Linked DNA regions of Ovis aries. The protein of the gene in region 4 interacts with the protein of the main gene of each other region in a biochemical or structural test. Links are inferred from orthologs where the notes say so. Each region holds a gene or a part of one and is shown on either strand. Other genes may lie near its edges. The genes, in order: MAGI1, GOPC, MPDZ, CRHR1, PDZK1, DLG1 and DLG4.

Region 1 (3,500 bases), on a different chromosome or scaffold from region 4:
TGAAAAGGGAAAGAGAAGGTTAAGTGTTAATTAATTAAAGCATTAAGCAAATGTTATTAAAGGAGAACTCTGTGCCGAGGGTCAAAACATTGGCAAAGTTTCGGGCGTTTGGGTAAGAAGTTACAGCCCTAAATGATAGTTCATTGCTGCAGTCCTTTCCCGATTTAAAATGAGGGGGACACCCCAGCTTTCCTCTTTCTATCAGTGGCAAAATTTGGGATCTTCAGCAATTTCCAAAGATTCTCAAGCGCCCCCAAAGTAACTTGCTGTGGGCTTATTTGGGGACTTCAAACACGAAACCCAGAGCTGGGATGGAAGCTTCTGCACATTCTGTGTTCATGTCACTTCATTTTTGCCAGATGTTGCTTAAGCTTCTGCCAATGTTTTGTTCTTTCTCCATTTAGAAAACACAATCACTGGGTGTCTAGTGAGGTCAGAGAGTCCGCTAGTGCCAAAAATCCAATCTGAAAACACCTAATAGACAAACACTTAGACTTTCTGCCTGCTATCCAGCATGATGAAAGCTTTAGCAAAGGGGCATAATTACGAGATGAGCCAAGGAAGCACCCAACCTTGACACGCATTTTTCCTTTTATGACCTTTGCTCAATCAGCTGCTCTTGTGGGCTTTCAGAGAAGGGCCCAAATGGCTCATTAGCTCTGAAATCCTCCTTCTTCCTCATAGAAATCCCCTCAAAGCCATAAGAAAATCTAGTACATACTCAGATGGAGGACAGTGATCTGAAGCTAGGTTCAAATCATTCCTCAGCCCTTCTTCTTTAATCATTTCCTTTGTCCTCCTCAGTTACTACATAGCTCTGACAGGAAAAATCAGGAAAAGTGCATTTGAAGAAGAAAGTTTACTGTGTGCTCTGAGGCACTTCATGTCACAACCAAGAGTGACTGGTAACTTTTAGAAGAGAGGTGGAAAACAGGCTTTGTGGCCTGATCTGGTTTCCAGATACTTGCATACTGAGTTGTAAATTTTGTTGGGCATGTCCACTGATTTTGAGAGTTTGTCTTTCTGTAAAGATAGTTACGTAGTTGAGCCATCTTTGGGAAAGCGTGACAAAATTAACGTGGGAAACCCTGAAAGAGAAGGCTCTTCCATCCTAATTCAGAGTGTAAGGATAAAATGTATGGGAAATGAGCTGCAATTGCTTCGAATTTCAGCATATTTGCCTGAGTCTGTATCACTGGATGTTAAGGTTAAGGTTAAAGAATTTTTCAAAAGAGAGTTAAACAGTCTTCTGGAAAGCAACAAGCAGGTGTGGTGGAAAGCCTCCATACTCAAATTCAAGGTATTGATTAAGTTTAGCCCATCTCCAAGGACAAGTCCATGGAAAAGGTATCATGCAGGTGGGAGGAAAGTCTGCGTGGCTCAGAAGAGAGGTCACATGCAAGGTATTAGGGAAAATTTAATTTGCTCATTGTAAAAGTTGGAGGAAAACAATCAAAGACCAAATTGTGAGTGAAGACATTCGATATGTGTTAAACAACACAAAACCTCCCACCAGACATATCTGTTGTTTCATTCTAGAAGGAGAAACTGAAAACTCAAATTCTGAGAATATCACTGGGTGCATAGGGACAAACTGCAGATCTGAAGAAAATAACTTGAGATGTCTTTGTCCCCTCTGCTTTTCTTTTTAAATTGGACGGAAAAGTCTTCAAAACTAATGGAGAAAACAAGCCAGAAAACCACCCTGCCTTGAGGTCAAGTCACCCACCACCCACAACATGCTGTGATAATGCTATTAACAGCGCTCACAGAGGCATTGTTAGTAATGCGTGTTTGTTATTGCAGCCACACATGCACAGACCTGGCTTGACGCACTGTCCCCTGAAGTTTGCACCTTAAAGGGACATGACTTAAGCAGGAAGCAAAGTACCAAGACTAAATGGAGACAAACAGAGTTGTACCAGAGCAGAAATCCAACAGGATGGAGCACCTAGCTGATGTTAGGCCAGCAAGCGACCTGGACCACTGGTCCTCAGACTCCTTGTGGGTAGGTCATTTGGAGACAGAGCTGAAGCATGTTTCAAAGCCTGCACAGCCCTTCCCATCTCCCATCATATTCCATATTAACTAACAAATGTGCTTGGGGAAAACAACAAATGACGTTTTATTTAATGAAAAAGGTGGATCAGTTTTGGAGTATGTACTTATGATCCATTCTAATAGGAAGACTCACGATTCCTAGTTCCTAGAATCACCTGGCTTCCTGTTTGTCTCAGCCCATGTACCCTGCAGGTGACAGTTGTGTTTCTCCACTCTCTGCTGAAACCCTCAACATCTGGATGAGACAGGACAACCACCCCTGCTAGAATTCAAGGGCAGTGAAGACAAACAGCTCTGCACTCAGATTTTAATTAGATTCTCCACCAGGCAACAGTAAACATATTATTTTAAATTAAAATTTAAAAATTTCAGATGGAGATAGGTAGAGGAAGGACACAGATAAGATGGAAAGGGCATTGCATGTATATTTTTTACTCCTCACACCTCTATTTCCCCCCTCCCCACAGGCATTTATTTCTAAAACCATATGCTTCTTTTAAAAATGCGGAGACCTTCTGAGACAACTGCTATGATTGATACCCTGCTCAGGACCTTGCAAAGGTCTCTCTATGGCAAGAATTTCTCACACTTTATCCTGTCAAGGGGCTTCTTTGCAAATTTCACCTATGCATGAAGTTGTCTGCCTGTGAACGTGCCACCAGAATGGAAGCTGAAGAGTTAAAAAAAAAAAAATCCCAACCTTCAGGAGAGGAAAAGCTGCCCAATAAAGTCCGTCCCCAATTAAGACTTTCATTACCTGAAGCGGAAAGCATGACAAGCATTTCTGTTAATGAGATTCTGGCTCGTCTTTTCCTCTCCAGAGAACAGTGACCCCAGGAAACGCTGGGGAGCAGAAGTGACCACACTCACCGAACGTCGTGCCGGCCTCGGGCCTGCTCACCGACGACACGATGACAAAGCCAAAGCCCTCGTTCTCGCCGCGCCGGATCTCCACGTCGTAGGGCTGGACCACGGTGCTCACCACACCGCTGCCGCCGCCGCCGCCACTGCCGATGCCGCTGGTGCTGCCACTGCCTGAGCTCACCGTGTTCAGGGAGTTCTGGCTGCCCTGCGGGGTCCGCTTCTCCTCCGTCAGCGAGGCCGGCTGGTTGCTACTGTGATGGGATGAGGCTGGCGAGGGTACCTCGTTCTCAGTTTTGGGGGCTGTGCAAGAGACATACCTCTTGGTTACCCGCCTCTGCCAAGAAATGTGCCGTCACCCCTTCCTCCTTCCCCCATCTACTCCACAACCAAACCAAGAGAGTGACAGCTTTGACAGCACCTGGCCTCACATAACTGAGACACAGGAACCGAAAACCACTCTGATAAGCATTTAGCATTCAGGGTCTGCAGACACCCATACCATGGGAGAACAAAGGGGACGCCCAGAGTCTGTTACATTTAGGGCATACTGTGTATCAGCGTCTGTATTTGGACGC
Region 2 (4,085 bases), on a different chromosome or scaffold from region 4:
AGGGGATTGAGAGTGAGTAAATGGAATGGTAAAGAACAGCTGCTCAATACTCCCAATAGTCACATTAAAGTTGTAGCTATGTGCTCTGCTAATGGGAGGGTCACATCTCATTCATTTTTGTGCCCCTGATGCCTCAACAGGGCTCTGCATTCAATCTGTCTATGAATATGTAAATCTTCATAATTTTGTTTCACTGAAATGTCACGTGTAGGAACACTATCCAAGTGTTTTTTTTAATAAGAACATCTTTTTAGGTAGTTGCTTTGGAAATGTATAACCTGTGGTGTGATAATAAGGAATATCAAGTGCCAAGCCGGAGAAGGCAATGGCAAACCACTCTGGTACGCTTAACTGGAGAATCCCATGGATGGAGGAGCCTGGTAGGCTGCAGTCCATGGGGTCGCTAAGAGTAAGACACGACTGAGCGACTTCACTTTCACTTTTCACTGTCATGCATTGGAGAAGGAAATGGCAACCCACTCCAGTGTTCTTGCCTGGAGAATCCCAGGGACGGGGGAGCCTGGTGGGCTGCCATCTATGGGGTCGCACAGAGTCGGACACGACTGAAGCGACTTAGCAGCAGCAGCAGCAGCAGCAGTGCCAAGCACTGCTAAGCATTTTACCTTATTACTGAGCGAAAGAAAATTTGGAAACTGAGGCTTTGAGGTTAAAAAATACAACTAAGATGGCACAGCTAATAGGGGATAGGACTTAAAACTTGAACCCAAGGCTGTCTGACTTTTAATCACAAGAGGAAAGGACTCCTCTTAATTAAGCAACACCTGGTGAGCCGCTGTCCTTCAACTTTGCAGTTCTAGGCATTTCCATCCAGAATTTAAGGCCTGGTTTACCGAGAAGAGCAAGTGTGTCCACCCACCCCATCCGCATCACCCGTAACAGGAACTGGACTGGAAAAGGTAAAACGTGGCCACTGCGCATGCTCACACGGCCCTTTCTCACCCTTCCCACAGAATGTTACCGCGGCAACTTTGTCGGACTACTTTAGAACGGTTCCTGCCCACTATGAAGTCAAAGGGGTGGAAGCTGTTCCTCTCTGCGACGTGGACACCCTTCTCTTCTCCGGGCTTTTCCAACTTGGAAGCCCACACCATGCATCTCCCGTGGATTCAAGCTGGAGTTTGCCAGTTCTCAACATGGCCGTTGACAGGCCGGTCCCAAACGGAGGCTTTTCATAGGCCAAGGTCGCACCCTAGCTCCGCCCATTTCGTCCCTCAGGGCTGCGTCTGCCTAGGTCTTTTCTACGCAGGCGCGGCGGGGGCGGGCCGCGAGGTGGGACGGCCCGCGTCTTCCGTGTGCCACCGCCGCCGCCTCTGCTCTGCTGCTCTTGCCCCTCCGGGGCTTCGTTGCCGGCGTTAGCCACGCGAGGGGAAGAGAGGGGACGGACGGAGCGTGCGTGCGCGGGGCTTCCCGCAGTCCCAGCAGTTCCTCTCGCGGGGTGGACGACGGGGTCAGCAGCAGTCGGGGGAGGCCCTAGACGGCGCCATGTCGGCGGGCGGTCCATGCCCGGCAGGGGCCGGAGGGGGCTCAGGGGGAGCCTCTTGCGCCGTGGGGGTCTCCCCTGGCGGAGTATCTATGTTCCGGTGGCTGGAGGTGCTGGAGAAGGAGTTCGACAAGGCCTTCGTGGATGTGGATCTGCTCCTGGGCGAGATTGATCCGGACCAGGCGGACATCACTTATGAGGGGAGACAGAAGATGACCAGCCTGAGCTCCTGCTTTGCGCAGCTTTGCCACAAAGCCCAGACTGTATCCCAAATCAACCACAAGCTAGAGGTGAGCCTTGAGCCCTGGAGGGGGTGGCATTCAGCTCCAGCCATCAGACTTCATTTAACGCACCGGTGAAAAACTGCCAGCTCGGGTACCTGGGCTTCCTATGTGGCGGGAGTGCGTGTATGTGAAGGAAAAGAGTGAGGTGAGGTGAGAGCAGGAAGAGCTGTGTAGGTTGACATGTAGGTCTCCTGGGGTCCTGAAAGCCACCTGCCTGGTATCTCTATGAGGAGGAAACAGGAACTAATTAGACCTGTCTACTTGTGCCTTTTCGTTAAGAAGCCTAAGACTTCACAGAAGCTCAAAGATGCTCCGTCATAAGAATATTTTAGCTCACCTTTTAACATTTGAGTTTTTTAGATCTAGTTTCACATTGCAGGTTTGTATATGGCCAATCCTGATTATTTTGGACTATTTCAGGTCAATTTTCATTGTTGCACACAGCGCTATTCCTTGCCTGCATGAACTATTTAGGGGAATTTGATCAAAGCTTTTAGGAAAATGGGATAAACAAGATAGGATCAATGTCTGTCTCAGTTTACAGTTAGTCCTTAAATTACAGTCACATACCTCCAGAGCTCCCTACGGTTATTCAGATGACTTCTAATATTGAGGTGTGTCTGTACTTTACTACATTTCCCCAAATCTGGATTTGTTTTTGAAAGTGTGTGAAGAGCGATCATTTGCTTAAGTCTCTCATCTTGGTTGTGGGTGTGAGTGCAGTAGTAGTAGTTCCCAAAAAACCTACCATGTTTTGCAGAAAATTAAATTAGCATATTTTTACAATATTTAGAAATCATGATAGATTAACATTATTATATAAAGAGCATTTTAAATTATATAATGTAAATAAGAGAATGGGTCTTCATTTTAAAGTGGATAAAAATAGGATAATAAACGATATGCAAAGCTCTTTGACATTAGATTTCCTAAGAAATCGTTACTATCAGTTGTGATGATTGAGATTGCCCACGGGATCCAAATCAATATGAATATCAGAAATGCATTCTCTCCTTGCTTAGTAGTTAGCATTCTTTCTTTTTCCTGTCTGTCATGGAAAAGGTAGTATAATTTATCTTTGATGAGCATAGAATTGTATATGGGAGATTTTGTGATTCTTCTTCACTGAAAGAACTGTTAGTTTCTTTTACCCTTTTTGAAAAGGTTGGACGTGTTGACATAAAGCTAATCATTTATTAATCTACATCTGTGAAAATGTCTCTTGATTTCTTGATTCAGCTGTAGTTTCTAGAAGATGGTTATTTATTCAGGTAGTGACATTGCATTTGATGGTCTTCAGTAGCTTTTGCTATTCATCCTATACAACTGAGAGTTTTTACTGAGGACAGAAGAGCCTGGCAGGCAACAGTCCATAGGGTCGCAAAAAGCTGGATACAACTGAGGAAGTATACACACACACACACTGAGGATAAACAGAGTTTTTAAAAATGAAACAAAGTCTAATTCATTTTTTAAGAGACTTACGGAAACTTTGATGTTTTGATGTCAGATTTTAAAAATCTAATTTTGGAGAAATGATTGTTCTGTGAGCAGGTGATGCTCAGTTTTTTCATCTTTAAATATTTTAAATGAGTATTTAGAGTTATATTATGCATTTTCTTTTTGAGAAATCATAATTATGTATTCTGATTCCATGTCCTGGCTTAGAAGGTGGCTTTATTTCTCAAAACAAGAAATGCTAGCCCATCACAATGTAGGCACGTTTTTTTTTAACATCCTTGAAGCTTTTGATTTGAAGAGTTTAGAAAATAGGGGTTGTTTGTGTGTTTTTTCAGTTACAGTTGACTTCTTTGTAAGGTTACTGTTTCTCTGTTTAACAGTTTCTACAGTTTTCATGGAATCCGTTGTGTATTGCTGAGGAGAGAGTCATTGTCAGCAGTGCCTTTCAAAGTAGATCTGCCTTTGTATCATCTGCAGAATTTCAGAGGTGGCCCTGTGTACCTTTAGCAGTCTTTTGAGATCTTGAAATTTTAGCAAAGATTTCATACTTTCTTGCCCTGTTTTATTTTTTAGTAAGTGAATTAAATTCATTTTATTGCTTTAAGGATATGGACATTAAGGCATAATATTTGAGGTCACTTATGGTCTGATGTAGTGCACCAGATGTGCACCAAATTTCGGTTCTTTAATATACTTAAAGCATATTACCATAATAACATATTTTTATAATCAAGAAACAGACACCTCCAAGAGTAACTTAGATTTAAATTGAGCATCCTTCCGGATTGCCCTTCTTCTGCTAAGTTATTGTCTTTAGGTAGTTAATTTAATATTAATAT
Region 3 (3,500 bases), on a different chromosome or scaffold from region 4:
CAAAGCCTCCTCTTTTTGATGGAAATATACAAGAAGAAGCTGTATTATTGTATAAAACATAAAATACCTGCTGGAATAGCTTACCTGATCAGCTACACCTCCAGGCAGAATGGTCTTCACAATCACACCAGTTGCTTTTCCTCCTACGATGCCAAAGCCCAGACCAGAACCATCATTGACCAATTCAATAGTTTCCACATGCTGCCAGTGAACCTGCAAACAAAGCCCTCATGTCAATTTGAAAACTAAAATTTTATTGTAGTTGAGATTTCTGTGAATATTATTTTGCGATTAGTATTAAATGAGTGCAACATAATAATGAGTTTTAACAGGGTCCCTTTTATTTAGTACACTTCTCTTTCAACAGGTTGTTACTACTGTTGATACAGCCATTCTTGAAATTATCAATACATCATTATAGTGGCTCTATTTAACCAGGTAAAGATACAGACTGGCAAGATCCTTTTAAGAGTTTAAAAAAAGATAATCAAAGAAAAAGAGAAAAAAAAATGTTAGCTGTTAAAAATTTCTTCTACATAAATCTTGTTTCATTAGATTTCAAGTTAAGTGAGAAAGTGTTAATCACTCAGTCGTGTCCAACTCTTTGCAACACTATGGATTGTAGCCCGGCAGGCTCCTCTGTCCATGGAATTTCCAAGACAGAAACACTGGAGTGGGCAGCCATTCCCTTCTCCAGTGTATCTTCCCGACCCAGGGATTGAACTAGGTCTCCTGTACTGCAGGGGGATTCTTCACTGTCTGAGCCACCTGGGATGCCCCCAAATTAAATGACCTGTTAAAGTCACTGATAGCTAACTCTAACAACTTAAAAAGTAAAATCAAGATTTTATTTGTTTACAGATAGTCAATCTTTAAGGGACTTTTTCCTTTCTTAGGAATGAATTCAAGTTTAAAAGCTACACAAAAAAAATAAAAGTTTTCTGGAAGCCAGAAACTTAATCATAATTGCATAAAATATATTCTATGCTCAGAAGAGAATAAAGAACAAAAAGGCAAAAACCCAAGAAATACAAAGAACCTATAGGAATTGCAAACCTGTGCAAAACCTTAAAGAATTAGAAAAATATGTTCTGTTCCCCTTGAAAAACTTATGTACTCACCGGGTTAGAATGAGCTGAAATTGTGCTCGCTGCAGATGGAGAACGGGAAACTATGGGGCTGATAAGCTGAGGCAATGAGCCTCTGGCAATAACCAGCTGGACAGTATCTTTGGCTTTCTGCAGGATGCTGATGGCCTGCTGATGTGTAATTGTCTGATCCAGTGCCTGTCCATTAATAGCAAGGATTTGGTCAGTTTCCTTCAATCTTCCATCTCTAACAATGAAAAGGGGGATAAAAGATAACCGATAGATCTCAAGAAAATGACTGCTTCTTTGGAATGCATTTTCAGGTTATTTTTAATTCTATTTTCTAATGTCCACACTATGTAACTTTTTTCTTGCAATTGTACTCTTAAAATATTTTATCTCTATTTCTTTAATTTTGTTCTAGGTGACATGCTGTTCAAAAAACCTACCGTGATAATCACGCCATGATGTAAGTCCAATCATGATGCTATACACCTTAAATTTACATACCGCTATATGTCAATTACATCTCAATAAAAATAGAAGGGAAAACTATATATGCTTTGGCACCAGCTGACCTAACCCTAGTCAACCACTCCCATTTAACAGCCATCTTCCTTTTAGCTACTCATTCAACCTATATGTTGTATTTTAGTACTGCTATTATCTTCTACAAATGAATGCAAAGAAGGATATGTTTACTTTTTTGCTTTGAGCATATTAATAAAATACAGCTCTTACTTGTTGTTTTGGGTATGTTAATAAAATACAGCTGATATTATCACAGACCACTTGAATGCTTTTCTATAATTTTTAAATCTAATCAAAAAGAGCCTGTTTAAAAACAATGGGAGTGATGTCCTAGTCAAATGTTTATTTCCTTATTAAAAAGTGATTAAGTCATGACTATATTTAAAAGTTAATCTGCCTTCAAAGGACTTTCTTGTTATTGTAGCAATGTTAATGATTTCTAAAAACTGATTAATAACATTTTATATTGTTTTTGTTTTTAGGCATTTTTGTTTCTTAAAATTCTTCTAGGGTGAGCAGCACCTTCTGAATGTGGTATCAGAAACAGAGAAGTCACAGTGACAGTCTCACCTGTGGGCCACACTGCCCTCCTGGATCTCCTGCACAAATATACCCAGCTCTCCCCGGTTTTCACTCCTCAGTCCCACCACACTGAACCCAAGGCCTCCACATGGAGGTTTGAGGAGCTCAAAAACTTCTACCTGGCGACCCTGTCCAGAAAAAGAAGCAAGGAATATAATTACATGCCAGCCACTGCATAGTGGCATTAATCTGTTTAAATTTTTTTTTTAATTTTTTTCTAAGATAACCTTCATTTAGAAAAATCCCTGAAGCACTTAAACTTACATGAAATCTACAGCTTTTTCATTCTAATTTTTTCAATGTTAAAAATGTCTTCATAAATAAGTATATCATAGTATAATATACATTTAAGATATACTTTATATTGTTGTTCAGTAAAATGTAATAAGAATATAAAACAAAATATACTATTGCATATTTTCTATTATAATAATATATTTAAAGTATACATTTAACATATGTAATATAAATATGCAAGTATTCTTCAAATTATCCAGGACACATTCTATCATAACAGGAACAAACGCTCTTACCTGGGCCATATTTTTGATCAGTTGATCAAATTCATCACAAGCAGGTTTCCCATTGATGTGTGCAGTAGTACTCAATCCTGTAAGAACTTCCAGATTTCCATTATTTGGGGATGATAAAAATGATTCATTTTGTAGAGTAGGAATTACACCTGGGCTGAGATGCGGAATGTGACCATACTCGACATTTGAAATTGTTGAAGTTGCAATGTTTACCTAAGAATAATATGGAGATTATTAACAATTTTGATATTCTAGAAGCTACCTCACAGAAATCATCCCAAGAGGGGTAATAATGAAGTACATATGAAAGTTCAAAATGTCCATACCATTTTATTCAGAAACTCTATTTCAAGAAGAAAAATTAGAAAAACACACTAAGATGTACATGCAAGGATGCATTATTTTTAGGTGGAAAAAGTTTTAAACACTAATTATGTGAAACAAATTAGCATTCAATTTCAAAGTACTCGTTTAAACACACAAAAATACATACATCTATACATACATTCTTAAGTGAAAAAGCCTAGTTAATGAACAATAAGCAAAATATAGTTCAATGTACATTCAAAAAATTATTAAACACCTGGAACAATATATACTAAATAACCAATACAGCAATAGCTGTCTCCAAGATATGGCAATCCAGGGAGACATAGTTGTCCCCAAGATATGGGAATCCAGGGAGACATTTACTTCCTATATTACTTGAATTTTCATAACAACTTATGCAGTAAAGAATTTGGTCTCTCCCAAAGAGAGGCCTGGC
Region 4 (3,500 bases):
CTCTGTGACCTTGGACGAGTCCTTCAGCCTCTCTGCTTCCTTATCTGCAAGACAGGAATGATCTTAACAAGAGTTCCTGCTCAATGGTTGAGAGGCGTTTTTAGTTGACACATACAGGGTATGTGGAGCTCTACTTGGCATGTGGTGTGAGCTGTTGCTTTTATTATTATTGTCTTGGAGCTATATTTATACAACCTTACATAAGACTCAGAATATGCCACTTGTCGCTATCAAAGGAGGCACAGGTCCCGGAGGCACCCCCTTGCCTCAAGCCCCCCCTTTTGAATGCAGGTGGGGCAGGAGCCTGGAGTCCCTCCCAGGCTGGATCATCCAGAGGGAGCAGGCTCTGGTGGGAAGTGAGGTGATCCCACAAGAAAACAGGCCCAACAGGCAGCATGAAGTTTCCAGGGAGGATGCGACCTCCTTGTCTTTAATTGCTGAGCTGAGCAGTCCTCCTGGAGAATCACGGGAAAATTGATATTTTTGGAAATATTTCCCATCCCTTTGAAGATCAGATGCAGTGGGAAGGAGGGCATTCGGGAGAAGGCCTAGACGTCCTGCCAGCACCTCCTCGGTAAACGAATTAACTGGTGCCTAATGATTAGGTACAAATCTGGGTTCCCAGTTGCCCCTGATTACGCGGTGTTTCTCATCACTGTGACAGGGGAGGCACCTGGAAAGGGGAGTCTCCTAGCCCTGCCCCCACCTCAAGGAATTATCACCTTCTCCTGCTCTTCTCCTGGGATCACAGACGGAAGAGCAAGGGAGCCAAGAGAACACTTCACCCAAACCTCCCACCCATCCTGCAGGTGGAGAAACTGAGGGCCCGGGCAGGGCCAGTTGCAGAGGGCTCCTTAACCAGGTGTGTGTGGAGTTGGGACTAGAACCCAGGACTCCTGGCTTCCACTCAAAGGCAGGGCTGACAAGTCGAGTAGCGTGTGTCTAGGCACTAATGGTGTATTTGGGGGGCTGTCGAGTTGTCCTTGGGGACAAGAGTGGGGGCAGTTCATGGGGAGTGGCCAGGGCTGGCTCAAAGGTAGGTCGCACGGTAGCCACAGAGAAGGAACCACAGAAAGGTCGACTCCAAGCAAGGGTGTGACAGGGTCGGATGAGAGACGAGGACTGGAAAGTGAGGTATCCTGAACCGGGGCAGCGGCACTGGGGATGGAAGGCAGGGAGGGTCAGACGTGAGGATCACTCTGGAGGTGGAGCTGACAGGACCTGGTGCTGTCATGGGCGGGGCTGCGGGGCTCCTTTTGGAAGTAGCCCCCCACCCCCCAACATACACCAGCCCTAGTGTTGCCTCCCTCCAGGGAGCTCCCGGGCCGGGCACCCGGCCGGGTGAGTGGAGGAGCAGGAGGGCTCTGGTTTCCCAGCTCCAGTGCCACCTCCAAGCTTTGTGACCTTGGGCGATTTCAGCCTCACTGCCTCCATTTCCTAATGGTAAAAGGGGCCCAACTAAGTTGGAGGTTGGCAGGATGAGCACCCCAAACTTTTCTTCAGGTCCTTCAGCCCTCCCTCCTACTTACATTCTCCTCACACCTCCTCCAGGCTCTCTTCTCCTCCTGGGTCCAGGCTGCATGGTCTGGCTGTTCCAGCCTCCTGCCCAGTCCCAACACCTCCCCAGGGCCCTCCCCACCCCTCCTTGACTGTGGCCCCCCACCCGAGCCCCCTTAATCCAGCTGGTAGAAAAGGGGAGGGGCAGGAGAAGGAAATTGAGAGTTTTGAGCTGGACAAAGTTTTAAGAAGCCGTGTTGTCCAGCCCTCTCCATCCTCAGATGAGAGGCCAGAGGACCATAAAAGAGGGGGAAAAAAATGTGCTAAAGGTCACACAATTATTTGGTATCTGAGATCACCTTCTGTCCCCTCTTTGGGCTCTAAGCTCAGGCCCACCAAACCCCAAAGGCCCACCCAGGGACCCCGCCCCCCCCCAGACAGGTCAGGGCCCCTGGCCTGCAGCTGTTGCTCTCTTGATAAGCAGGGGCTGTGAGTCATTGACAGGGGAGAGCAAATTAATTCTGAGGGTGACAGGTGGCATAGCAAGAAGCTGCAAAGCCTGGAGGTGGAGGCTCAGGGCCCAAGGGGAGCAGGGTGTTTATGTGAGGATCAAGTATCTGAACAAGCCCTGCCCGGATCAGTTCTCCTCTGTCCCCACCCCACTTGTGGGCCTGCCTGCAAGGACAAGCCCCCCGCCTGTGTATCTAAAACCCTGAGTCCCCTACCTCATGGCTGGAGGACCCTGGCTAGGCCTGGGAACTTCTCTGAGCAAAGCTGGGGCTACTCTGATGACCCCTGCCCTACCTCATGGCTCATGCCAACATTAACCAGCAGGTCAACTGCAGAAGAAAGTGTCAGACCTGGATGCAAATTCCGGTCTCACCAGCTGGTGATCTTGGGCAACTTCCCTAATCTCTCTGAACCTTGGAGGCCTTAACTATATAACATAGTTACATGTAGCATCTTCCAGGGTATTGCTGAGTGTCCGCAGTAAATAGCAGAGTGCCCAGTAGAGCACACAGCTGGCCTTTGGTCAATGGCAGCTGTACCCATGAATGGTATTGGTATTATTACTGTCACTGTCAGTATTATTTTCCCCACCTGCAACAAGCCCCCAGTTCTCTGCATCCTGTCCCACCTCCCAGGAGACGGTCTACCTTTCTCAGGCTTCCTTACTTGTGGTATTGTAGCGGACGCCATAGAAATAAGCAGGGCAGGGTCGAACCACCAGCTGCCCTGCAGGACTCTGGGGCCAGCAGGTGCCAATAAGGTCCACGGAAGCATTGCACTGCAGTCCTGGAGGCAGAGACGGCTGGTGAGACAGAGCAACATCCCCACTCCAGTGTCCCCCCAACCAGTCTACATTCACACACCAACTGAGGACAGGACAGCAATGACCCCAGTGCAGAGAGGAGCTCTTTTTCTGCAGAGGAGATACCAAGGGAAGGAATCTGAATTTGATGCTATGGCACTAGGGAGCCAATGTGGGTTCCAGAGCAGAGGAGGAACAGAGACACTGGGGTGGTGGTAAAGCTGAGGTCCTGGCTGGCATTTAGAGGAAGGCTGGACATGCTCCAGGTCCCCTGCTCTGTAGTCTGAGGACACTTCTCTTGGCCCTGCACTTGGTGTAGACTGGAGCGCTCAGAATTCACAGCCTGGAACAGCTTGGAAGAAACCCAGCCAATCCCTGACTCAGTCCCCTTACACGCCTCTAGAACCAAACCACATCTGCTCTGAACCTGTAGGAACCAGTTAAAAGAAGTTGGCCCACCTTCCAGCTCACCTGATAACCACAATCACTGAACATTTGTGCTCTAATCTATGCTAGGAAAGGACCTAGGAAAGGACTGGCTGAGAGGGATCATGGAGAAAAAAGGGAGAGAGACACTATGTGGGGAATTACTGAAGTAGTAATTCGGAACCCAGGCTTCAGACTGGGCTCTGCTACTCATTTGCTGTGTGAGTGTAGGCAAGTCACTTGCCACCTCTGGGCCTATCAATAA
Region 5 (3,500 bases), on a different chromosome or scaffold from region 4:
GTTCATAGATTTTTCCTAGGTCACCAAGAGAAATTCTGCAGTTACATTTGCAAATTCTTTCAAAAATCTTATTTCCAAGGACTTAAACCTCATGAACCCATCACATTCTCTTATCTACCAATTTGAGCTTCAGTACAGCCTTAATGATGATTGTTATGCCTCTTCCAGTATGAAGATCAAAGTGGTAACTTAACCAAAGTTTGAGGGTGTGAGTGAATGGACCCAACCTTAATTCATGAATATGTGACCTTGTATTACTTACCAGTTTATATATGTTGTCTGTCTCTTTGTCTACCACCAGCAGAGAGGTCTGATCTCCACCCTTTCTAATCATTTCCACCACAGTGTCATGATCAAGGGACTCCACAGACTTGCCATTGACAGCAACCACCAGGTCATTGTTCTTCAAGCCAGCCTTTTCTGCTGGACTTTTGGAATCTATGTCCTTGATGATTTGACCTACCCACCCCCCAAAAAAAATTTAAATAGAATTACCAGAAAGATCCATAGAAAACAAACTGGGGGATTTCTGCTGGGGCCTAAAGCCTTTATAAAATAGATATAAAAGGCATGCTGAGTACAACTCCTTCCCACTAGGATATCTATACACATCCTATCCACCTCGCTCTTTGGTCAGAACTCATTCTAGGAATAAACCCAGTCATTAATAATGAGAGTCTTAAAGAAAAGAATGTTATTACTAAAAGTGTTTGGGATTCAATCTTGGCAAAACAGCATGCTAAGCAGTAAGGGTCAGCAAAGTCCCAGGAAATCAGTGTGCATACTTGTATGCTTATGTAGAAGCTAAGCCATAAAAAAAGGGGAGGAGAGGATGGGAAGAATGGTGAACAAAACCAAAGAATTCAGACCCCAGGAAACCCAAGCTAGCCTTTTAGTAGCAGTTGGGCAAATTCAGTTGTGAATGGATCTGTGAGTGCGTGCCACACAGATGGGTGTTGAGTCTTCAGGAATTGAACCATCTTCACCAGAAACCTTCAGATCTCTCACCCTTAATTTTTTTTTGACCCTCATACAGTTTTAACAAGCTCCAATTTCACTTTTCCAGCTAGTTGCTTGGCATCTCTTGGTCACCCGTTAGTGGGAGCACCATCCTCCTGTCACTGACAGGTAGCATGATTCTTCCTCAGCATCCACTCCCTGTGTCTAATCAGCCAAGTCCTTCAGTGCTACCTTAATATTTTTACACATCTCTTCTGGAGCCCTAGTTCCTCCACCTGAAATGCAGTTTGTATTCATTCCTGCCTTGAATTCTTCCTAACCTGCTACCTTACCAGCTGCTCTCCCCTCCTTGTTTGCCTTCTCCAGTACAGACCTGCCTTCAGATTCATCTTGATGCACCGTCTGAGCGAGTCACTCCCCAGCATGACAGCGTGAATGTGAGCTTTGGAACTAAACAGACCTAATTTTGATTCTAGCTGTACTAGAACTATTTGACCATATAAAAATTGTTGTATCTTCTTCAAGTCCCCAGTTTCAGCAATTCTTACAAAATTATTAGGAGTAATTGAGATGTGTAAAGCCCGCAAGACAATGTAGGTTTAATTTTTCTTCTCTCTCACACTGTTCAAAAAATAACTCCCCACTAACTCTGAAAATAAGTCTAAACTCCTCAGCATGCACTAACAGTCCATCATATGTCTCTCCGACTGACCTTTCTAACTTGATTTTCTGTGCTACACTTTAAATAGCAATCAAACTGAGCCTGTGTCTTCCTGCTTTATTCACGCAATCCTGTCTTCATGGATTGGACTTATCTGTCCCTACCCCATCAACTTGCCTAAATTCTATTCATACTATAAAGCCAGAGCTCAAGTGCTACCTTTACTTTGAGGCCTCCCAATACCTTTTTCGTGAGGAAAAACTCGCTCCAGCATTGAATTTCCATAGTATCTTACCTGCCCTGTTTTAAGATGTTTCTTACCATCTACCTTCAGTTATGGACATATATGTCTTATCTCCTCTAGTAAATAGGGGTCTTCTTGACTGAAGAATTCTTATCACATTCATTTGATATTCTCAAAGATCCTGAGGATGTTTTTATACCATATGAGTCAAATTAATGTTTCATAAATTAATGTAAATATATATGATGGAAAGAAAATGGTAATTCTGGGTGAATAAGTTTTCATGGCCTGAACCTACATTTTTTTTTTTCGTAATGTATTCAGCTTGTGTAGGAGGACCTTAATTCTTACTGAATTACAGGGAATCAGAAAGACTCCTGGTTCTATTCATGTCCCAGATCCCCACCCACACCCCTGCCTCAGATCTAGTGGGATGTTGGCGCTGTCACACACCAGCTCATGAGAATACTTCTCAACTTCGCGTTCTATGACAGCTGTTGTAGCTTGAAATCAGACATGGTGGGAGTATTTACACCACAACGAAACAACACATACTACAAATTAGGGCTTTTTTTTAACCCCCCAGAGAGCCAATTTACTGGCATGCTACTGCTCAGATCCAAAATTCTGCTTTATAATTCTGCTATGAAAACCTAAGGATACCCTGATGGGGGGCTGGGGGGCCTAATGGAACTCTGGGGAGTCAGACTGGGATGAAGAATTGGGTGGTTACACTGCCAAGTTTTCTGCTCTTCAAGTGCCTTACCTTTCTGTTCTGGGCTTTCCCTCAGGTAGAAACCATAGCCATTGCTTCCCTTCTTCATCTCTACAACACGGGGCTGGCAGGGTAGCAGTTTCAGACTGGCTGTTTCTCTCTTGACTTTTATCTTCTGCTCGCTATGGTGCTTGTCAGTTTCCTTGTCCACAAGCAGGAATGTGATGCGGCTTCCAGACTTCTTCACCTGCAACAACAGTCAGGTGAGGACCAACATCAGTCTCCAAGAAAGATGCTGGGAAATAGGAAAGTTTCTGTGTTGAGGCACACAGTCTATAGATTAAACAGGATATATGGGATGTAAGTCCTGAGCTTAATTAAGCTGTAATACTGTTTTGTACCACCTCACTGGTATTTATTTATCTTCCCTTATATAGTTGTTTTTCCCTTTGTTAAGTATGACGTCACCCACACAGATGCTAACTGAACCCAAGTGAAAGCCAGAATTCAGAAAACCCAGAAAGGTACTTAGGTGAAGACTAGGAAAGGAATTTGGAAAAGAAAGTAAAGGTCTACTTTGAAATACCATTCTACCAAGAAAAGATACAGTTGGTCAATTTTCAAGGTTCCATATGACCCCAAAGAAAAACCTCTGAGTGTTTTCCGTGCATCCTGCTGGGGCATAAGACTTGGGGTATAGCACATCAGATACTCCCCATGTATAACTCGATATTCATCACCCACACTAGTCATCTTCCAGCTTGTATTAAAACACTTTAGTAACATTGATTCAAGATCGAATTTACTACAAGTTTAGAGAGTGATTCCAGTAACTTACACATAAGATCCAGAAGATAATGGTTCTTTAGAACACTTTTCTTCAAGACAACATGAAACTAGCAAAGGCCTCATTCCAAAGC
Region 6 (4,259 bases), on a different chromosome or scaffold from region 4:
TACTTCTTTGCATTGATCACTGAGGAAGGGTTTCTTATCTCTCCTTGCTAGTCTTTGGAACTCTTCATTCAGATCGGTATATCTTTCCTTTTCTCCTTTGTCTTTCTCTTCTCTTCACAGCTATTTGTAAGGAATCACTGCACATCATGACTGCAGCCATGAAAAGACGCTTGCTCCTTGGAAGAAAAGTTATGACCAACCTAGGCAGCATATTAAAAAGTAGAGACATTACTTTGCCAACAAAGGTCTGTCTAGTCAAAGCTATAGTTCTTCCAGTAGTCATGTATGGATGTGAAAGTTGGGCTATAAGAAAGCTGAGCGCAGAAGAATTGATGCTTTTGAACTGTGGTGTTGGAGAAGACTCTTGAGAGTCCCTTGGACTGCAAGGAGATCCAACCAGTCAATCCTAAAGGAAATCAGTCATGAATATTCATTGGAAGTACTGATGCTGAAACTCCAAACTTTGGCCACCTGATGGGAAGACCTGGCTCATTGGAAAAGACCCTGATACTGGGAAAGATTGAAGGCGCGAGGAGAAGGGGACGACAGAAGATGAGATGGTTGGATGGCATCACCAACTCAATGGACATGAGTTTGAGTAAGCTCCAGGAGTTGGTGATGACAGGGAGGCCGGGCGTGCTGCAGTCCATGGGGTCGCAAACAACTGGACACGACTGAGCGACTGAACTGAATTGGGTGATCTTAGGCAAATTCTTCTCTCTGGATCAGAGCATGGAGGTTGCTGGTACACAGAAGAGGGTCGAAGATGTGGAAATGATTTGGACATCTTTGCCCAATTCCTTTTCCAGATCCTGGGAGGCTCAGCCCCGAAGCGGGGTCCCAGCCGGCTAGTAGTCCCTTTCCTGCTGCTGCTGCTGCTAAGTCACTTCAGTCGTGTCCGACTCTGTGTGACCCCATAGACGGCAGCCTACCAGGCTCCCCCGTCCCTGGGATTCTCCAGGCAAGAACACTGGAGTGGGTTGCCATTTCCTTCTCCTAGGGACTACGTAAACTAGCTTTAAACTAGTTTTGCTGAGCTTCAGCGGTAGCTACAGGTGAGTTCTTAAAGGGGCCGCCAGAGCTTGGGTAATACGTGAAGCTGTTGACTTGGAGGGAGTTGCAGGCAAGGGAGAATGAATGAGAAAACGAACGAACCAATTTTCTATTCCCTTCCTTAAATGCATTCATACTTGGAATTAATCACTTAGATTTAAAAAATTCTCTGGCAAAACCTTCAATTTCTTATCAGATTAACTAATCTCCATATTTTACCTACCCTTCTTTAACTCAGTTCCTCCAAAACTTTTACTGAGGGGCTAACAGTAACTTGAAAAAATTAGCACCAAGTGTAAGAATGCAGAGACGGCACCCCTCCCCCTCGCAAACACCTCCCTTTTCCCCCTCCCAGGCCCCGCCCTTTCCCGCCCCCTATCGTGGGTGGTGCAGTCGACACCTCCCTGAGAATGCTTTTCCAGGTTGGGGATCCACCCCCGGGGTGGATCTCTCCGGCAGAGTTGGAAACGACACGCATTTAGTGAGGTTAAAGGGTGTCTCGGAATGTGTGTCCTGGATCTGGTGTAGGTGAGGTCACATTTCTCTTCCGACACTGTCACTCTTCCTCGCCTGGTGCGCTACTCGCTCAGAGCCGCGGGACACACCGGTGGGCTAGGACGAGGTAAAGGCGGGCTCTTCCAGGGCGCCCTGGCCCACCTGTAGAGTCTGTGCGTCAACTCCTTTGTTCTCAGAACCACTTCGGTGGCCGCGCCTTTACGCAAGGAGGTTCACTTCGACGTTCCTCAGGTCCCCTTCTGCCGTCCCCAGCCCCCTCCTGGCCCTCCTCCCTCTTCGAACCCAAAGGTTGCAGCGCTGAGAGCCCGGGGCTCGGCGCGAGCCGCCTCCTCACTTCCCATTGGCTGAGAGCGCTGGGAAAGCGGTCACGTGGGGGCGCGGCAATCCAGATCAAGGGCCGCCATCTTGGCGGAAAGTTTGGGGGGAGAGCGGTTGGGGGCGCGGAAGGAGGCGAGGTTCCGGGGGTGTGGCGGCTAAGAGCTGAGAAGGCGAGCGGGCTAGCGGGTACCGGCGAGTGAGGAGGCGCCGGCGGCTGAGGCGGAGGAAGAGGCAACGGGGGTGCAGCCGCCGAGGGGAGCTCCTCCCCCGTTCCCTCACCCCCCTCTGCACAGCTCCGCAAGCCCCGGGTGGGGCGGGGGGACGTGGAGCGGGGCAGGGCGGGGGAGACGGGCCGGGGCGCACCCCAGCTCCGGGCGCACGCCACTCGCAGGAACTTTGTGGCGGCGCCGCAGGTGTGGGGGCCCGCGGAGGTGTGCATGTGGGGCACGAGGGCGTCGGAGAGCGGCCGCTGTCCTGTCCGGCCCTCGCTGGAGTAGCTCGGAGGAAGCCAACAAGGAATCAGGCAAGCGAGAGGAGGGGGCCCGAGCAGGGCGGGGTGATCAATCCAGTTGGTTCCTTCTCGGACTGCTTTACAGTCTCTGCTGGTTTAGGGGCCAAGGGTCGGAGCGCCTCTTCACCCCCCAGTAGCAGGTGGGGGGTATGCTTTCTTATGCCGGGGGAGGGGTGGCCCCACGTCTAGCATTAAGCTCCCTTTGGAGAAGGGGCAGCTTTCGAGGAGAGTTTGGCAGCTTGCTCCTGTCTGCTCTTAATTTGCAGGGGAACCCAACCTTAGGTTAAAGCTTTCTACATTGACACTGCTGGGTTTTGAGGCTCTTTCTCCTTTGACTTGGGAAAACTTTGCCAGGTGGACTTTTCAAATAGGGCTAGGAGTTTTTCGATTTGAGAGTTAGAGGTAAATGCTAGGTTAACCTCGATTCTGTTCTTTTCTGAATTCAGTTCTGTTTCCTTTCTGTTTTGTGTTCTAAGGTGTGTGCTCTCTTCCTGATTCTGGAGAAAAATGCCGGTCCGGAAGCAAGGTGAGAGTTTACTTCGGAACTCTTGTGGGTATCCCTTGCTTTTTTCTGTTTTGTGCTTGCTATGTTTTACAGATGTTTGTGTAACTGATGAGACAGCCCAGCCTTAGCCTTATTACTTACGGAATCTAAGCCTCAATCATTCAGAAGATGGAAACACCTAAGTGTTTGTCAAACTTTTTTCCCTTGACATCTCTGTAGTGACTGGAGAGGCAATTAACTTTTTTCCCTCAGAAATGTCTTTTTTAAAAGTTTGTGTTGGCGTTTTAATATTTCATTTAAATCATTCTTAGTAAACCCTTTCGTGAACGAATGTGGAATACTAGCTAAGAACTACTAGTTTTGAAAGAATATTTGAATTATAATGATGGATTGTAGTAATCAGTGTTTGTATATCAGATCAACTGAAACTATGTTACTGGTTAAATGATCACTAGAACACATTGGTTACAAACTACTCACCTTGTTTTATTGTGACATAATGAACAGTTTTTGGATTATTTCATTTCTAAGGACTATATGTACAGGAACATAGTAGCATGGATCGACTTGGAGGTTTGGAGAATTGTTTAGGTTATCTTGCAGAGTATTTTGCTGCATAGCTAGTTTGTAATACTTCCTTGTAAGTATATAATTTTAATCAAACTTTTTTTTTCTTTTCAGATACCCAGAGAGCACTGCACCTTTTGGAAGATTATCGTTCGAAACTAAGCCAAACAGAAGACAGACAGCTCAGAAGTTCCATAGAACGGGTTATTAACATATTCCAGAGCAACCTCTTTCAGGCTTTAATAGGTGGGAATTAAAACTTTATTTGTGACCATTGTGTGTCAGCTGGGCTTAAGGCTTCTCTGAATTCACTTATTTTAAACTTAAGAGAGTGATAGACTTGGCTCTCTGTGAGGCATGCAGTTACTTGAACATCCAGTGAATTGTGTATTTTGATACTTAGACCAATATCTTTTCCAGAAATATCTAATAACCAAAAAAACTTTCAGTATGATTATTTCAGTGGTCTTTGATAACAAAGCATTAAAAAATGAAGAGGTTGCAAAAAGTAATGACTGAATAACTGTTAGCTTGTTTCTTTGTTGGTTTTGTTATTTCTCTGGAATCTCTGAAAATGTTTGAAAAGTTCTGTGTTTAAGAACATTCATTCTCTTAATATAGACCTCTGTTTAAACTTGGCATTTGTAGAATTACAGTTTTAAACTTGAAAAATGATCTTACAGATAATCTTGGTCTAATCTTGTTTTACAGATAAAAATATTGAATATTCTTAACTCTAACTTAAATTTGATGTGGTTCATTGTTTTAAAGGAGAACTGAACAAGGGTG
Region 7 (3,332 bases), about 19 Mb from region 4:
CAGGGAGAGAGACAGAGAGAGAGAGAGTTAGAGAGCTGAGGAAGGCCATGGGGAGAAGGAGGAGGGGGATGGGCCACGGCTCCTACCTGCTCTGCCACCTCTCGCACGGACTGGACGCTGGTTCCATACAGGTGGCTGTTGTACTGGCCGGCCTCAATGAACTTGTGGGCCTGAATGTCCTTCTCCATTTTCTCCCGGGATGACACAAAGTGGTAATCCCGGCCATCTATCTCGTACTCCCGCTTGGGCCGCGTCGTATCTGCCAGGAAGTCACCCCATCCCCCAAAGATCTAACCACCATCCCTCCAGCTTCAACCCTGCCTACAGCGACCCCCCCCCCCACCCGCAGAGAGCCCAGCTGGTCCTCCGGGGAAGGGGGCTGCTGGGGAGACCGAGGCCAGGGGAGAGGGGTGGAGCTGCCTCCCCCAGCACCTCTGGGTCATCCGAGTCCCAGGCCTGGGACGGTCCCGGCAGACCTGAGGGTGGCTGAGCAGCACCCTCGTCTGAGAACCCTGTGTTCAGAAGTGGCTCTGCCTGTGACCCCTTGGGCCCCCTCCACCGCCCCTCAAGGCCCTGCACTCACGGGGAACACAGGATCCAAACTTGTCGGGGAACTCGGAGAGGAGATCATCGTTGGCGCGGTCCTTGGTGGGCCCGAGGATAATGATGGGGCGAGCATAGTGCACTGAGGAGAGCGTGGCGGTTAGGCGGGGGCAGAGATCGGGGTCAGGCGGGGGGGTGGGCAGAGGTGGGGCAGGGGGGCTGGGCCAGGGCGTGCTGCCAGGGCTCACCTTCCATCTGTGTCACCGTCTCGTAGCTCAGGACCGAGTCTTCTCGACCTAACAGGAGGCAGGGCATCTGCAAGGGCCTTGGAGGCAGGGGATGCAGGGGCCCCACCAGCCTTCCCAAGGACTCAAGAGAAGCCCAGGGCCCCTCTCCCCGCAGGTCTCCCCAACCTGACCCAACCTACCCTGTGATCCAGAGCTGGAGCCCCAATCCTAGGGAGACAGAGCAGGCCATGCAGTCAGTCAGGAGCCTAGACCCACGAGCGCCATACCACCCCACCTCTGCTCTTCCACCAGAGCTCCCGGCCTTCTCCACTTACCTTGGCCTTCAACCGTGACCACTCCCGTCGCTCAACCCTGGGGGATACATGGAGGGATGGGGGTAGAGAAATGGCCAGTGAGGGGACCTCTTGCCCCCACCCCCAGGGCAGCTGAGAACTCTGTCTCCCAGCAGCAGCCCCTGGGCCCCACGCTCCTAAATGAGGTGTTTGTCCCAAGGGCTCATGTGAGTCATGGTGCCCATGAAGGGTCAGCAGACAGATCCCCAAGAAGCTGGGGGTGGACCCATGCCTTCCCTGCTGGCTGCCCACCCTGGGGCCCTTGGGAGCTTCAGGGGCAAGAAGGCTCACCGCCGCTTGCTGGGGATAAAGCCGATGTCATCAGTCTCGCTGTCGGAGTGGACCCGCCTTGCCTGCCACCACTCCTCATCGCTGGCGTCAATGACATGAAGCACGTCCCCGAAGCGGAAGCTCAGGGCCTGGCTCAGGAAGCCGCAGTCCTTGGTCTTGTCATAGTCAAACAGGGCCCTGGAGGGCAGGTAGCCTCCAGTCAGTCTGGTGAGGGCCAAGGCCCCCCGAGACCCAGCCCAGAGGTTCTGCCTAGGGGTCTACAGACCCGCACGGCCGCTGGTGGCTTTCCCAGAGATGCTGTGGATTCTGAGGAACCCTAGAACTGTGTGGGAACCTAAAACTCTACAACTATGAACAGCCATTCAATTCTCGCTGTGTCAGGGATCAGACAGCCTACGGATTGGGGGCGATTTTAAGAGTAAGATTGAGAATAGCACCCTCCTAAGAAAGCAGCTGCCATATGCATGCACGTCACAGTCACGGGGTAACATGGACCCAAGTCTGGCTACCCTCAGCAGTAGAGTGGCCTTAAGTGACAACCTGTAAGTGACAACTCCAGGGTCAGGACAAGGGAAGAAATGACTGCAGAGACACCAGAGATGCCGAGCAGAGCACCAGGGCTAGAAAGATGGGAAGGGACTCAAGGATCATCAGCATCATCTGGGAGTCAGAACCGACCAGGCCTGGGAGCCAACCGGACCCGGCAAGGAGAGAAGGGCCGAGAGAGGCTCTGATTTGAGCCAGGCATCTTGGCAGACAGCGGTGTCATTCAGGAAGAGAGATACCAACTGGGCAGGACGGAGAGCGAGCACGCACGCTCGGGAGAAAAGGTGAGCTAGCTCTGGGACATGCTGAGTGTGAACACCTGTGGGACAACCCCAGGGTTGTGTCCAGAAAGCAGATGGCTGGAGCTGCAGGTCTGGACTGTGGGGAAGAGGTCAGGCCTGGGCTGACTGCTCTGAGAGACACTGGCAGAGTGAGCAGAAGGGGAGCCTGTGTGAGCAGACCGGGAGCCCAGAGGGAAGGAAAGGAAGAAGCTCGGACAAAGCGCCTACACCTGGGGCAGATAAGAAAGAGGAGCCCAGTGGGAGAAGGAGCCCTAAGAAGGTAGCAAAATGCCACCCGGGAGACAGGGTCAGCTTGGAGAGAGCAGTGGTCCACTTCCCCTGGAATGCGTTATCCCATGGGGCTGGGTGATATTCCAAAAGTTGAAAGGCCCCCTGCTCTGCCAGGCATTACCCTTTGAGTTACCAGACTGTGCGGCAGCTGGGGGTCCCAGGGGAGGTGCCAGGGTGACTAGGGGCTAGGAAGCAGTAGGGATCACTGAGGTTGAGGCTGTTTTCTAGTCGCTATGGAGCATTTCTCAATGCTAACCTATGCGTCTCCAGCCCTAGAGAGGGAGGCGGGACAGGAGCCAGGCAAGATTGAGGAGGGAGAGCTGGCTGGGGGACAAGGGGCCATGAAATGAAGAGGGGCCCAGCCAGGAAGCATCTGACCTGATATAGAAACCCCTTTTGGGGTTGCTCCGCAAGGAGGCAGTCCCTGAACCCAGGCTGCTGTTCATGAGCTGTTCCCGAAGGTCGTGGATCTTGGCCTCGAACCGGCTGTACTCTGAGAAAGGACAAGAAGGTTCCTGAGCTCTGGCCAGTCCCTACTGTCAGCCTCTTCCCCCCCACCTCCCCCAAACCCTGCAGAAGCCAGGAGACAAGAGTTCTGAGCACCATCTGAGAGGGGGAGCTTCAGGCTTGGTAATTCCCATTTAGTTACTCAGCCGCGTCTAATTCTTTGCAAACTCATGGACTGTAGCCCACCAGGCTCCTCTGTCCATGGGATTTCCCAGGCAAGAATCCTAGACTGGGTAGCCATTTTCTTCTCCAGGGGAATCTTCCTGACCCAGGGATTGAACCCGTGTCTTGGG

Evidence for each region.
Region 1: the proteins of CRHR1 (region 4) and MAGI1 form a complex in vitro, tested with the Homo sapiens proteins (2 studies listed by BioGRID and IntAct, with this or other methods). The link is inferred for Ovis aries from reciprocal best matches to the Homo sapiens genes CRHR1 and MAGI1.
Region 2: the proteins of CRHR1 (region 4) and GOPC form a complex in vitro, tested with the Homo sapiens proteins (2 studies listed by BioGRID and IntAct, with this or other methods). The link is inferred for Ovis aries from reciprocal best matches to the Homo sapiens genes CRHR1 and GOPC.
Region 3: the proteins of CRHR1 (region 4) and MPDZ form a complex in vitro, tested with the Homo sapiens proteins (2 studies listed by BioGRID and IntAct, with this or other methods). The link is inferred for Ovis aries from reciprocal best matches to the Homo sapiens genes CRHR1 and MPDZ.
Region 5: the proteins of CRHR1 (region 4) and PDZK1 form a complex in vitro, tested with the Homo sapiens proteins (2 studies listed by BioGRID and IntAct, with this or other methods). The link is inferred for Ovis aries from reciprocal best matches to the Homo sapiens genes CRHR1 and PDZK1.
Region 6: the proteins of CRHR1 (region 4) and DLG1 form a complex in vitro, tested with the Homo sapiens proteins (3 studies listed by BioGRID and IntAct, with this or other methods). The link is inferred for Ovis aries from reciprocal best matches to the Homo sapiens genes CRHR1 and DLG1.
Region 7: the proteins of CRHR1 (region 4) and DLG4 form a complex in vitro, tested with the Homo sapiens proteins (2 studies listed by BioGRID and IntAct, with this or other methods). The link is inferred for Ovis aries from reciprocal best matches to the Homo sapiens genes CRHR1 and DLG4.

Annotation. Positions count from the first base shown.
Region 1 is NC_056072.1:36,129,980-36,133,479, reverse strand, and holds part of MAGI1 (membrane-associated guanylate kinase, WW and PDZ domain-containing protein 1), read right to left. Parts: intron 3,226-3,500; coding exon 2,932-3,225; intron 1-2,931. UniProt on the Homo sapiens protein: Plays a role in coupling actin fibers to cell junctions in endothelial cells, via its interaction with AMOTL2 and CDH5. May regulate acid-induced ASIC3 currents by modulating its expression at the cell surface.
Region 2 is NC_056061.1:20,413,694-20,417,778, forward strand, and holds the start of GOPC (Golgi-associated PDZ and coiled-coil motif-containing protein), read left to right. Parts: upstream 1-1,285; 5' UTR 1,286-1,503; coding exon 1,504-1,791; intron 1,792-4,085.
Region 3 is NC_056055.1:81,729,768-81,733,267, forward strand, and holds part of MPDZ (multiple PDZ domain protein), read right to left. Parts: intron 2,948-3,500; coding exon 2,735-2,947; intron 2,330-2,734; coding exon 2,190-2,329; intron 1,336-2,189; coding exon 1,122-1,335; intron 214-1,121; coding exon 85-213; intron 1-84. UniProt on the Homo sapiens protein: Member of the NMDAR signaling complex that may play a role in control of AMPAR potentiation and synaptic plasticity in excitatory synapses. Promotes clustering of HT2RC at the cell surface.
Region 4 is NC_056064.1:45,564,456-45,567,955, reverse strand, and holds part of CRHR1 (corticotropin-releasing factor receptor 1), read right to left. Parts: intron 2,794-3,500; coding exon 2,674-2,793; intron 1-2,673.
Region 5 is NC_056054.1:99,019,408-99,022,907, forward strand, and holds part of PDZK1 (Na(+)/H(+) exchange regulatory cofactor NHE-RF3), read right to left. Parts: intron 2,828-3,500; coding exon 2,632-2,827; intron 460-2,631; coding exon 263-459; intron 1-262. UniProt on the Homo sapiens protein: A scaffold protein that connects plasma membrane proteins and regulatory components, regulating their surface expression in epithelial cells apical domains.
Region 6 is NC_056054.1:192,592,994-192,597,252, reverse strand, and holds the start of DLG1 (disks large homolog 1), read left to right. Parts: upstream 1-1,459; 5' UTR 1,460-1,581; exon of another isoform or gene 1,582-1,675; intron 1,676-1,956; exon of another isoform or gene 1,957-2,410; intron 2,411-2,874; 5' UTR 2,875-2,905; coding exon 2,906-2,948; intron 2,949-3,584; coding exon 3,585-3,716; intron 3,717-4,259. UniProt on the Homo sapiens protein: Essential multidomain scaffolding protein required for normal development. Recruits channels, receptors and signaling molecules to discrete plasma membrane domains in polarized cells.
Region 7 is NC_056064.1:26,802,664-26,805,995, forward strand, and holds part of DLG4 (disks large homolog 4), read right to left. Parts: intron 3,026-3,332; coding exon 2,911-3,025; intron 1,592-2,910; coding exon 1,415-1,591; intron 1,143-1,414; coding exon 1,106-1,142; intron 999-1,105; coding exon 971-998; intron 840-970; coding exon 792-839; intron 686-791; coding exon 584-685; intron 260-583; coding exon 87-259; intron 1-86. UniProt on the Homo sapiens protein: Postsynaptic scaffolding protein that plays a critical role in synaptogenesis and synaptic plasticity by providing a platform for the postsynaptic clustering of crucial synaptic proteins.